Linked DNA regions of Daphnia pulex. The protein of the gene in region 1 binds, or shares a complex with, the protein of each later gene. Links are inferred from orthologs where the notes say so. Each region holds a gene or a part of one and is shown on either strand. Other genes may lie near its edges.

What was found.
Region 2: cyclin-C-like (region 1) and mediator of RNA polymerase II transcription subunit 16-like share a complex: the UniProt entries of both Homo sapiens proteins name them as parts of the mediator complex. The link is inferred for Daphnia pulex from reciprocal best matches to the Homo sapiens genes CCNC and MED16.
Region 3: cyclin-C-like (region 1) and mediator of RNA polymerase II transcription subunit 20-like share a complex: the UniProt entries of both Homo sapiens proteins name them as parts of the mediator complex. The link is inferred for Daphnia pulex from reciprocal best matches to the Homo sapiens genes CCNC and MED20.

Annotation. Positions count from the first base shown.
Region 1 is NC_060017.1:5,572,573-5,576,211, reverse strand, and holds cyclin-C-like, read left to right. Parts: upstream 1-1,587; 5' UTR 1,588-1,715; coding exon 1,716-1,747; intron 1,748-1,805; coding exon 1,806-1,912; intron 1,913-1,980; coding exon 1,981-2,187; intron 2,188-2,247; coding exon 2,248-2,371; intron 2,372-2,440; coding exon 2,441-2,565; intron 2,566-2,639; coding exon 2,640-2,838; intron 2,839-2,942; coding exon 2,943-3,015; 3' UTR 3,016-3,109; downstream 3,110-3,639. Other genes in the region: adenosine receptor A2b-like, read left to right, coding at 384-716; folate receptor alpha-like, read right to left, coding at 3,131-3,322, 3,379-3,594. UniProt on the Homo sapiens protein: Component of the Mediator complex, a coactivator involved in regulated gene transcription of nearly all RNA polymerase II-dependent genes.
Region 2 is NC_060021.1:618,242-622,546, forward strand, and holds the start of mediator of RNA polymerase II transcription subunit 16-like, read right to left. Parts: upstream 2,808-4,305; 5' UTR 2,649-2,807; coding exon 2,557-2,648; intron 2,473-2,556; coding exon 2,317-2,472; intron 2,253-2,316; coding exon 2,054-2,252; intron 1,979-2,053; coding exon 1,738-1,978; intron 1,684-1,737; coding exon 1,519-1,683; intron 1,444-1,518; coding exon 1,100-1,443; intron 1,023-1,099; coding exon 866-1,022; intron 795-865; coding exon 587-794; intron 527-586; coding exon 384-526; intron 319-383; coding exon 119-318; intron 51-118; coding exon 1-50. Other genes in the region: delta-aminolevulinic acid dehydratase-like, read left to right, coding at 3,119-3,240, 3,311-3,557, 4,171-4,291. UniProt on the Homo sapiens protein: Component of the Mediator complex, a coactivator involved in the regulated transcription of nearly all RNA polymerase II-dependent genes.
Region 3 is NC_060026.1:11,663,768-11,667,911, forward strand, and holds the start of mediator of RNA polymerase II transcription subunit 20-like, read right to left. Parts: upstream 2,869-4,144; 5' UTR 2,686-2,868; coding exon 2,672-2,685; intron 2,552-2,671; coding exon 2,409-2,551; intron 1-2,408. UniProt on the Homo sapiens protein: Component of the Mediator complex, a coactivator involved in the regulated transcription of nearly all RNA polymerase II-dependent genes.

The DNA.
Region 1 (3,639 bases):
AATTTTGAAAAAATGTTTGACATTTCCGCATAAAACGGGAAACGCGGTTGAGTTTCATCAACCACTTTTAAATTTTAATAGCAGTCAAGGAATTTAAAAAATATATTTTTTATTTGATTTGTTTTGGGGTTTTTTCTCAAATTACGACATTTCGTTCAAATTCGCTCTCAGTTTTGAATTTGTTACGTTTAGATGGGTGCGTGGCAAAATTTAAAATCCCCTGTAAACAACATGTATAACAATAGGGAAAAAACCGTGATAATTTTACAACCGGCTCAACCCGGATCTAAACATGCTAAACAGTTTAATTTTCTTTATCCGAGCTGTTGTTGTGTAACCGACACGCAACTCTTTTCCTCAATGTTGCCGTTTGTTTTCGGCAGGTTGTCATGATTTTGTATTTCGGGAAATCAGCCCTGAATCCATTTATTTACGGATGGAAGAACCGCGATTTCCGACTGGCTTTCGCCCGTTTGCTCCGCTACGTCCCCTGCTCCAAGTGGGCGATGGAGCGCTCGCTCAGCTCGGTGGAAATGGCCACCGGAATCGGATCGAGAGCTGGATCCATCCAGCCGCACGATCGACAGCGACTCAGTAAAATCTATCAGCTGGAGCTGCCACCTATCGAGTGGCAAATCAACTCCACCGACCTCTCCAACGACGACTACCTACAACGAACGATCCCGCCGGATCAGCAACAAGTCACGGACTTGTAAAAATTCACGACGGCACGTTTTGAAATAGTTTTTGTTTTTTCACGTTACGCCGGACGCATGCCAAGAATCGTTCAAGTCAATTCTCACGGGGGCTACACTCTTTATTCATGCAGGATGCCTCTGCTTCTTGGCCTGTCCATCGTTGCTGTTGACTGATGCGGGAGATATGTCACATGATTTTTTCCCCCCATCGGTTGTGTTGATGATATTAAAATATTTTCATGTCTTGTGTATAGGCTCCATTGAATGTTGATTGTATTTTTCGTTCGTGCCGATGCCACGGGATTCAAACTCTCTCTGACTGTCCATATCGTCATATAGCCCACACATATTTTGTATCATCTCTGTTTTCTTACTCAATGGTCCATTCCGCATTTTGTATTTTCTTATTTTTTTGCAACGCATTTCTTTTCGGCCTGATGTACTCATGATTCTCGTTGTTGTAAAACGGACAAGTGGTCAAATTCCTTCGTGTTTAGTAGCCAAATTTACATACTCAATTATTCATGGATCGTTTGTAACTTTGTAAAATGTAACAAACATTGTGTTATGAACGTTTCGTTAGGCGACAATAATATGTAAACAAATACGCTGTGTAATGAGTCTCAAAAATATTAAATCATGTTTATTTACGTCGAACCAAAGTAACTCATTGCGTCATCATCCTAATCACTCAAAAACAGTCATACAGTAAGTCATAAGTTTACAATTAATTAATTAAAACCAAATGGAATGCAATGTTTTGTTTTGTTGAACGCTAATAAAACTTTAAAAAAAACAGAACAAAATCACGAATACGATCGTTCACAAATCACTAAATCAGTAAATCACGATGTTTTCTTTTCTTTCGTTTATTGGCGTGCTCGGGTGCGAAAAGGCTTCCATGTTAGAAAATCCGGGCACGGCGACATTTTAATAAGCGCCGCCTTACGTCGTCTAACCTAACAGTGTCGAGCATCGTTTACACACAGTAAACAAGTTAAACCTCGGCCGCAGAGTATGGCTGGGAATTTCTGGCAAAGCTCGCATTGGTTAGTTTTTATTTGTCTAACGTTTTGATTCACATTTAATTACTCACTTTATTATTAGTCAGCAGTGGCTACTAGACCCTTCTGATTTGGTTCGAGAACGCCAAGGGGATTTCGCCATCGTCACGGAGGAAGACTATCAAAAACTCTTCATCTTCTTTAGTAACTGTAAGTTTATATTAACTATGGAATCATCTCCTAAATGTTGAATAATAAAAGTGTCTTTCTCATGTTAGTCATCCAGGTTCTTGGTGAGCATTTGAAACTCAAACAACAAGTCATAGCGACTGCCACAGTTTACTTCAAGCGGTTTTATGCCAGGAATTCCTTGAAATGCATTGATCCACTGCTACTTGCCCCCACATGCATTCTGTTGGCTTCAAAAGTCGAAGAGTTTGGTGTAATTTCGAACAACAGATTAATCACAACATGTCAATCAGTTGGTATGTGATCTTTTCATAAGACAAAATTTGTTATTGTGATTCAATCAACTTCTTAAACAGTCAAGTCAAAGTTCAACTATGCCTATCCTCAAGAGTTTCCCTACAGAGCACAACACATCCTTGAGTGTGAATTTTATTTATTGGAAAACATGGATTGCTGTCTAGTTGTTTACCAACCTTACAGGTGATCAACTGTTTCTGAGAAAATTTAAAGCATAATGTAATAATGTTTTCATTTGAAATTTCCACACAGACCACTTGTCCAATTTGTTCAAGACATTGGGCAAGAAGATCTTCTTGGATTGTCATGGAAAATAGTCAATGATAGCCTAAGAACTGATATATCTCTTCTGTACCCCCCTTACCAAATTGCATTGGGTTAGCTTGAATTATTTTTGTCTTTTATCATGTGAACTCTACTTCATTTATTTCTTTCTTTTCTTCTGTATTAGCTGCCATGCAAATGGCTTGTGTTGTGCTTCAGAAAGACGGGAAAAATTGGTTTGCGGAAATTGCCGTCGATACGGATAAAATTCAAGAAATAACGCGTCAAATTCTGGCTCTGTACGATCTCTACAAGACCTACGACGAGAAAAAAGAAATTCAGGGTTTGTTGGCCAAAATGCCTAAACCCAAAACGCAGCCAAGTCGGTAGGATATTCAATTTCCTATTTAGATCCCAATTCTTTCTTATTTGATCACATTGCAAAGAATAAAATTTTAAAATTGTTTAATACACTGTGATAACTATGTAGGCCTCCCTCGTCAGCACAATCACAGGATGGAATACAGGGCACAAATGACCAGTCCATGGGTGTGACAAATTGATTATCATTATCATTCTCATTTTATAAACTGAAAAACACAAAAAAAACTGTGTTATGATCAACTATTTAATACATGCTTTCTTTTACAATGAAAATGAGAACGCAATTTCTCTATTCTAGTAGTTTAGAAACAACATCAAGGCGGGGAGTACGTATGTAAGCGGCTTCGTTGAAAACGTTTCCGCGCTGTTACTTTGTTGGATTTTCCATCGTGCAATATTTTCGTTAGGATTGCCTTGATCACCGTCAAACCAAATACGCATGCAGGGCTCTGAATTATTGGTATACTTCCATGAATGATCCCAAACCTTTTAGAAAATAAAAATGTAATCAAAATTCTAGGGAGAATGTTAATACTGTTTACCCTTTCACAAAAATTAGATGAGTTTTGAAAGATATCGGAAAAGGTGCGACATTCGGATTCAGGTCGGCAGTGATTGGTCCCATTAATCCATTTGAAGTTTAATGTCCAATTGTCTGTACATGTGTAATCATCCTTGCAAGCATTGAACCAATCATCACAATCAGTGGCGCAAAGAGGCACGTCCAAGAATCTTTCTCTGCGCATTTTCATGTTTACCTAGATAAAAAAGAAAATATACAATTATTTTCTACAAGTTTAAAA
Region 2 (4,305 bases), on another chromosome or scaffold:
AATAGTTCTCGAAACATATTGAGTAGTTTAGGGTCACGTAGCATGTCGCACTGAAAGAATTCCAACCGATTTAATAAAACGCTTTTTATTACGAATAATTTGAAACGTCAAATATTACCATTGTTCCTCGTGTAGTGGTTGCAGTTCGCCAATCGGGCAAATTGTTCAATAACCTCAAAATAAAGGTGACTGTCCATTGAATAAGATGTTGCACTGTGATGAGAGTTGATGCCTCAACTGTAAATTCTTTGACTTCCAAGTGTAGCAACACTTTGTCAACTTCAGTGCCGACCTCTGGAACTTTGGAACTCAACACAGCTAATTGAAAATATTGAGCACATGTTACATGTATAGAAATGGATGTTTAATCATTAATTATTTACCAGTAAGGCTATCTGCAGGAGCTCTATCTTGATTAAAGAGCTCTGATGGTGGCCTCAGCAGCGATTTCAGTGCGTAATATACTGAGTTAAGCATAATAATACCGTATTGCAATCCGGCCTTTGAACTCGCAGTTGGACCCAACCTTTTAACCAAAAATTGTATCAATTACTAATGGCACTCGTAACAAAATTCTATTAGTTACCTGAAGATAGCCAATTTAATATTGAGCAATCTATATTGCAGCAATTGCTGTAATCCAATAGATTGCTGGTTGAAGGAGTCGGTTAATCGTTCACACAGGGAATCCAGCATCGTCGATCGCAAACCGATAAGAACGTCCCAATAGTCGATACCAGTCAGCAGACAATACTCCAATGACATTAATGCATAAGGAATGGTGACCGAAGCTCCTACACATAATTTGTACAGTTTAAAACTTATTTCATTCAGATATTTGCCGAAGACTATGCCAAAATCTTACCAGGATCTGTGATGGGAGAAAGTTTGCAGACAAACATTGTCGCAGTGTTATCGAAGGCAATCAATGCATTGCCAGTGGCAGTGAAACACGCCGAGCTGACCGTTTTCGATTGGGCGCTTTCACATTTCGACCTATCCACAATGCTGAGGTGTCCAACCTGAAAACGTACCGTGTCCACATGAAATGTTATTAATTTTTGCGCTATTCAACGTAATCTAGATAGACAATATCTACCTGCTTCATACTCTCGCGATATAAGCACAATAACTCTCCACATACTGTGGCGATGACTAAATGATGCTGTGGAGGGCTACCCGCTTCTTGGCCGTTTACCCAGACATTGCGTGACGGACAGACGTAGGTGATTCGACTGTTGCAATTGAAAACGGACATACACTGCCACTGCAGGAAGCGACTCATGGCAGCCGAAGTGGAGAAGAGTGAATGAATCGTTCGTTCAACTTCTGACAGCTCCCAATACTGCAGAGTTCCACTATTAATTCCATTTACTACTAGGAATATTCCCGATGGATCTTCTCGTGAACTGAAATTCACACCACATACACGCATTTCGTTGGCTAATTTTGAAAAGAAAGACACCTTCAGTATTTAAAAACCAAAATCAAAATGTTCGATATTTCAAGCAAATTTACCTCCTGACTGCAGGGGGAAAAGTCCAGTGAGTGTTTCAGAACGAAGACGATATTCATCAAGAAGGCAACTGAATTCCACTCCGTCATCTTTTTGAATGGTAAGCTTGCAATATACAATCGGGTCCAAAGGGATTCCCGTGCATGCTACGGCTAATATTTCTCCATCTGAAAGACCGTACATGAGTTAAGAAACTGGTAATGAATTAATTACTCAACTACCTTTTGTCCAGGCAAGATCCACAAAGGAATATGCTAATCGTATTCCGCCAAGAATTTCTACATTTGTTGTTTTCCCTTTAGTACCACCCATCACAAAAGCTTGCACAAGGCCAGTCATTCCAACAACAAGAAAACCTTGTAGAGGACGACCTCCGAATCCGCGAATAGTTGGTTTCATATCTACTTGAATATACTTGTCCAGATATGACACACTTTCCCGGTTTTGGCAATTTAAAAATGTCTAAACAAATTTGAAAAAAAAAAAAAAATGTAAAGGGTTAATTTGAAAAATAAAATTACTTCAACTGTATATTACTTTCTTTCCGTTAAAGAAAAACATTCCAGCCTGGATTGGCTCATCTGGAATGCAAATGTTAGCTACTCTGGTCCATTCATTCAAAAGATGTGTGAGTGTTGTCCAGATTTCTGCATTTCCCGCAGTATCACCGATAAGCAAGTAATGACCAGATTGGTCCCATTCCAGAACAGTTACTTGTGCCACACAGCTCTTAACACTAGAAAATAAAACAGAATAACTTTTCAAATTTTCTGAACTAGTTGTTAACATTTCAAACTCACATATGCGTATCCCATGGGGTATTAGCGTCACAAACAACAACATTCATGTTTTGGTCACTTGGACCTGCTGTACTACTCTTCAGTGTTCCATAACAAGCAAATGCTATAACATTTTGAGGAGACACGGCACACGCTGTGACCCCAATATCAGACTCACTGCAAAAGATAACCACATTTTATTAAGAGTTATACAATATAATATTAAAAATAGCACTAAATAGAATGTGAAGGGGTTATCACTTTTCCCACGGAGAATTGCCCGTGTTTAATCGTTGGCGTTTCCTGGGGCTTTCTTCATAATGACTACGTCGGACAACAGCGATCAGATCCATAATATATGGAAACACGAATTCAATGCAGAGATTAAGACAATCTGCAAATCAAGTAAATATTTTTTGGATGACAGAAATCAACGCGACGAATAGATAAACATTCAAACAACGTTAGCAGCCATTCCAAAAAGACCTAGCAGACGCAATATTTCTCTGAGCTCTGCGGCGCCATCTAACGGAGCACATTACAAATGCGCTGATTTGATTTTGATTATTTTTTCCACATGAAACTCGCACGAATCGCAAAAAATTATAATTTGATGTATACGTATAAATGTTTTTGAATAAATTATATTAAATAATTATAAAGTACATTTTATTTGGTATAAATTTTCCGAAATTAGTAATATGCAAATGTAGTACGAGGATAGATTGCAAGACGGGAGTCTGAGTAAAGAAGAGCAATCTAGTTTGGGCATTCAGTGTGCTCAGTTGAATTGATTCAGTAGTCACCACAAGATTAGTTAAGAATGTCTGAAGTCCCAATAACACATATCTTACACAGCGGATATTCTCACGCGACTCTACGAGCATGGCAAACTTCCGATACAACAATTAAACCGAACAATTTGATGTACCCTTTATTTATAGTGTAAGTAACTAAATGCAATTTCATTATAAAAATTTAGCCAGACATTAATTTACTCTTATATAACATAAAGAGATGACCCTGAAGCAGAACAGGAAATTAGTGGGATGCCTGGCATTTATCGATTCGGAGTTAATCGTCTCGAAAATCATTTAAAGTCTGCCGTCGCAGCGGGATTAAGTTCTGTCTTGTTATTCGGTGTGCCATTTTCAATGCCGAAAGACGAATTCGGTTCGGCGGCTGACCATCCTGAGAACCCAGTCATTTTGGCCATCCAAAAGCTTCGACAACTTTTCCCCGATCTACTCATTGCGTGTGATGTAAGTTGTAGCGCAATTTTATTTAAAATCTTAAGTAATTCCACTACAATGTTATAATATTAAGGTTATACAGATTGAGGATAGAAAATTCAGGATAAATGTTTAGAGATAATTCTTTGGAGTTTTAAGTTTTGGTTAACCCTGATAGTCAATCTTATCTAGTTTGCTTTCAAGTTCATCACAAACTAGCCGGTGGCGTATCAAGTAACACAAGTCAGGCACACACAGATGTTCCATGAATAAACAAAAAACCCTACAGGCGTAACTGTCATCCAACAGTTTTTCGATAAATAACGTAGCAAAATGTTGATTAGAGTTGTTGCTGGACAGGCTACATATTTCTACTATGCAATGCCCGCTAAGATCTGACTTACTTTTAGAATTATTTATCCAAATTGCCAAATTTCGCTACCGCTGAAATCTGACATTTCCAGTACCGCAGTGCGGTGCTTCAGTAGTGCAGACTAATATGAATATTGTCAGCTACGATCGGTGTCTGGGCTAATTCGAACACAGACCAGCTTCAGTCAATGTTTGAGAATTTTCTTTATCTAACGGAACCCATCCTTTTTTATTCTGTGGGAATCACGCCTTGATTTATCTGTAAATGCAGGTATGCATTTGCGCATACACCATCCATGGACATTGTGGAATCCTCTGTGACGACGGTACCATAGATAATGCTGCCAGTGTTGCAAGGTTGGCTAAACAAGCATTAGCATATGCCAAATCAGGTATTACTTCCATA
Region 3 (4,144 bases), on another chromosome or scaffold:
CCAAACACCCGACAAAAGGGCAACCAACCCAATGTGCTTTCTCGCTCACTTCTTCTTCTTCTTCTTCTTTTACAAGGAACTTGGTGATATTCCATCAGGCTCACATCATCCCCCCCGGTAATAGGATACATCTTCTTTTATTTCCTGGTGTGGTGGCTGCTGCTGCTGCCCTTTTCTGTGTTAAACCAAATCAATCCAGCTCGTGAATTATTCAACGCATTCCAATCAACTTATGGACGCTTCTTTTCTTCTTCTTCTACTTCATGTATAACCTCCTCCTCTTTCACCTGATATAAAAATATTTTCTCTCTTTCCTTCTCTTTTGCGCCATCCCCCGATCGGAATGTCTTCATTTCGGACGGACGGACGGGGAGATTTCTCGACGAGATCTTCTTTCTCTCGCCCCCCTACCGTAGCACAGAGGAAAGGTTAACCAAAGGTAATAATTTACCTGCCTTCCTAGTTCTTTTTTTTTTTTTTATTTTTATCATACGAAACAAACGGCTTTCACCCCCCTGTAGGAAGGTGTGGTTATACACCCGGGGTAAAATCAGAAAGAAAAAAGAACGGGGGAAAATGTTTTATACACACGAGCCCTTAACGATTGAAAGATCACAAATAATAAAACACACAGGAGAAAATGAAGTTGGACAACTTCAAAAAGAGAAAACGTTTTTTAAGACTCTCTTTTCTCCGCGTCTTTTTAAAGGGTCATTAAAAAACATTTGGTTAAAGTCCAGAGGGGGCTCCCACAAGCTCAGATTTCATCATTCCAACTTGATCGTTTTGGAAGAAAAAGAGAAAAAAATAAAAAGATGAAAATGTCCGCGTTTCTTTCACTGATAGATTCTCCTACTTCCCAAAAACTCGCCAAGTTGGCCCGTCCTGTGTAGGTGTCAGCTGAGAAAACTCGTACGGGGGTGCGGAGAGATTCAATTTCACAGATGAACGGCACAGACTGACGGCCAGATGTAGAGAGGATACCAAGTGGGGGGAACGCCGGAAAACAACAGAAAATCGGCGAAATCGGCAAAAAAGAAGAGAGGAGTGTGCTCGCGCTATGGTCTTCTGTTGGAGACGGGAAAAGATATTGCGACTATTTGTTCCTTTTTCAACATTTTTTTTTATTATTTTCGGTCCGAAACTGGCCGGCCCCCCTCTCTATTTCCGTGACGACACGAATCACGCCCAAGATTGACGACAACAAGAAAGTTTGGGGGGAACGGTTCCCTCCTCTTCAGATGCGCTCCGGGAGGGGGGTTTTCTAACAAGAAGAAGGAGGAGGCTTCGTCGCATATATATCTCTACTACTCCTTTTTCCCTTGTAACTTATTAAAACATTTCAAGAATGTGTCGTGTGTATCTGCTGGCTCCACCCCTTTTGATTTCCAGTCGCTTGAAATGTGTGCGAAAATGGAAACTAATTGTGAAAAAAAGGAATGAAGTGGAGAGAGAGGGGATGAAGCTATTTAAATGTAAACATGTCGAGACAGAGCTATTCTCGGTCGTTCTTTTTGCCAAGTGGTGCACACAAGTCAGCTGATGGCCCTGTGGCGTATCAAATACGCTTGACATCGAATTGCCGAGTTAGACGAGAGAGAGAGAAGAGAAAGAGAGTCGAGAGAGGCTACGGATCGATGAAACAAAAGACGCCAACTGTATCAACGCTCAGCCTTAACAGACTTAAGAGACAATAAGGCGGCGGCGGCGGCAGCAGACGGGCAGATTCAACGTCGCGGAATGGCAGTAGAACAATGCGGAATCGAAATACGAAATTCAAAACAAAAAAATTAATAAAAAGAAAAAAACAAATTTGTTTTTTTTCACGAATTGAATGGACCGTATGTCATCGGTCCCAGAGGCGTCCGTGAGTCAAAGAGCCAAGGACGGGCAAGTATATATGTTGACAGCTTGTCACTAGCGCACGTAGGACGGCCTACCTGAATTACCCGGCAGAACGAATCGTTTTAGGGGGAAAAAAAAGCTAGCTTCACTCGACACGGTCCTTAAATAAAAGTTGGAATAGCAAAAAGGGAATAAAGAAAACTAAGCAAAGAGTTTGGGAGGAAAAAATAAAAGAGGTAGAGACATCCATATGTGGGAATGGAAGGGGAGGAAATTTACAAGTCAGGTAGTGTGTTTTGCTCGTAAAAGGTGTTTAGAGGATTCGGATATCTCGTGTGTTACGTGTCGAGCGGATGGTTAAAATCAAAAGAACTCGGTGCCCTCCACATTTGAGTTATTCAAATGTAGAGATGGGTGGTGCCATCTGGTTATGGGAAAGCTGAACAGTTCCAACGGTGGACTTGGAGCTGGTAAAGTGAGCAGCAGATGGGTCTGCTGTCACAACTTGTTTACCACCATGGACTTGAATCGGGAAAAATGTAATAGAAGATTGTGTTTTTTACCCAATGATGCAGTAGAACTGTAAGTTTCACAATCCACGATGAAGGATCCACTAAGAACAGCTCCCAGAGCAATGGCCCGTTTGGTCAACATTTCAATAACCTGAGGACCGGACTTGCCTTCAGGAACAGCAAACAGTTGTAAACTAAAATTGAAAAACAACATCAAATTAGTAATTATTTCATACAAACTTGTGATTCAATTAATGGTTCCTTCATTTGAATGAAATGTGATAAAGCTGAGAGACACTGAATGCTTTACTCACACTATGACACCCATGATGTTGTTACAGGGTCAACTAGGTAAATTCCACACACAGTCGACTCCCCGAAATTACACCTGAATGTTTATATTCTATTCCTATACTTAATTACAAAACAAAAAGATGAAAAAGAAAGTCACGTTTGTTTCAAAACAAACTGCTTTTCGTGCCTGTCAGAAAGACCGGCTTCGATATAAGTATCGATATGCTCCTTAACAATCGATCAATCGATTTTCCTTTTTCTTGATTTTTACTATTTAAAAATAGATTGGGGAAAAGTCGGAAAACGGGAACACAAACAAGAGCTGTGAAACCTTGAAGCATTCACACTCCTCCCCTTGACAAAAACAAAAAAAAAAAAAACGGGTGAGAAATATCATCCAATATTCACGTACGACAGTTCTGAAGTGAGAAAAACCTCGCGTCGAGCATTTGTAAGAAAAAGTGGGTGGGAACCGGATGAACACTATACTACAAGTGAGCCGTTATAGAGTGTGTGGCCCGTCTCGAGCTATATGTCTAAATAAAAGTAGCTGCTCAACATTTATCTTGGGGTTTCTTTGACGACAGGCCCATAACTCTCTCTTTTACTCTTAAATTGTTACACAACATGCAAATATACCCACGGAGCTCTCTCTCTTGTACCGCTGAATGTGCGAGTTTGAACATATGTAGTCACAAAACCGCTGACGTTCGTGTGCGGATAACATTCGAAATTATTTCTGTTGATAGTGTGATACTCGGCGTTTAATAAACCCGCTCGCGGGTATTACGATGGGGTATTATGTGCGCTCGACACACTCCCGCGCGCAAAGATGAGGTCAACCGATTCCACCGCATACATAATGGGATCTAGACTAGAAACCGGCGGCGCCTATCTGTGTGAATGTCCGTCGTCGTCGTGTGTATTATGAGCGGAATAACAAAATCTCGTTCATGTCTGTCCCCCCCCCCGTCGTCGCTTATCTACAAAATAGTCCCACCCCCACCCCCCCATACATACATGTATGGAGAGAGTTTATATCTAGGAAGTTGGTGCACTCGGTTCAGCGAACGACTAGGGTTGCTAGGAAACCATTGATCCATCCCTCAAGGATATATGTGCATGTGTAAAAAAAGAGGAGTGGGGGGGGGGGGAACCGGGCTTGCGTACTAACTGATCCTTCTCGCAAATGGTGAGAACAGGAGGAAAGAAAAAGTCAAAAGGGATTTTTTTTTTTGAAATTTATTTGTTTCGAAAAAGAAATAGGAAACCATCCAGTCAAGAGAGGGGGGAGAGTACTGTAAAACAAAAAATCTGCCAGTTGCTCGCTGGCGTGCCTCAGCAGCATCCGGAATCTTCTAGAAAAAAAAAATTTGATTACCAATTCATTTCTTATTCCGGTCGAGTCTCAAAGTGAAACTGGTGGCGCGGTGTGTTAAAAGGAAAAGCGAAACGCGCTGACCCCCGCAAGGTGAAAAAATAAAATAAAAAAG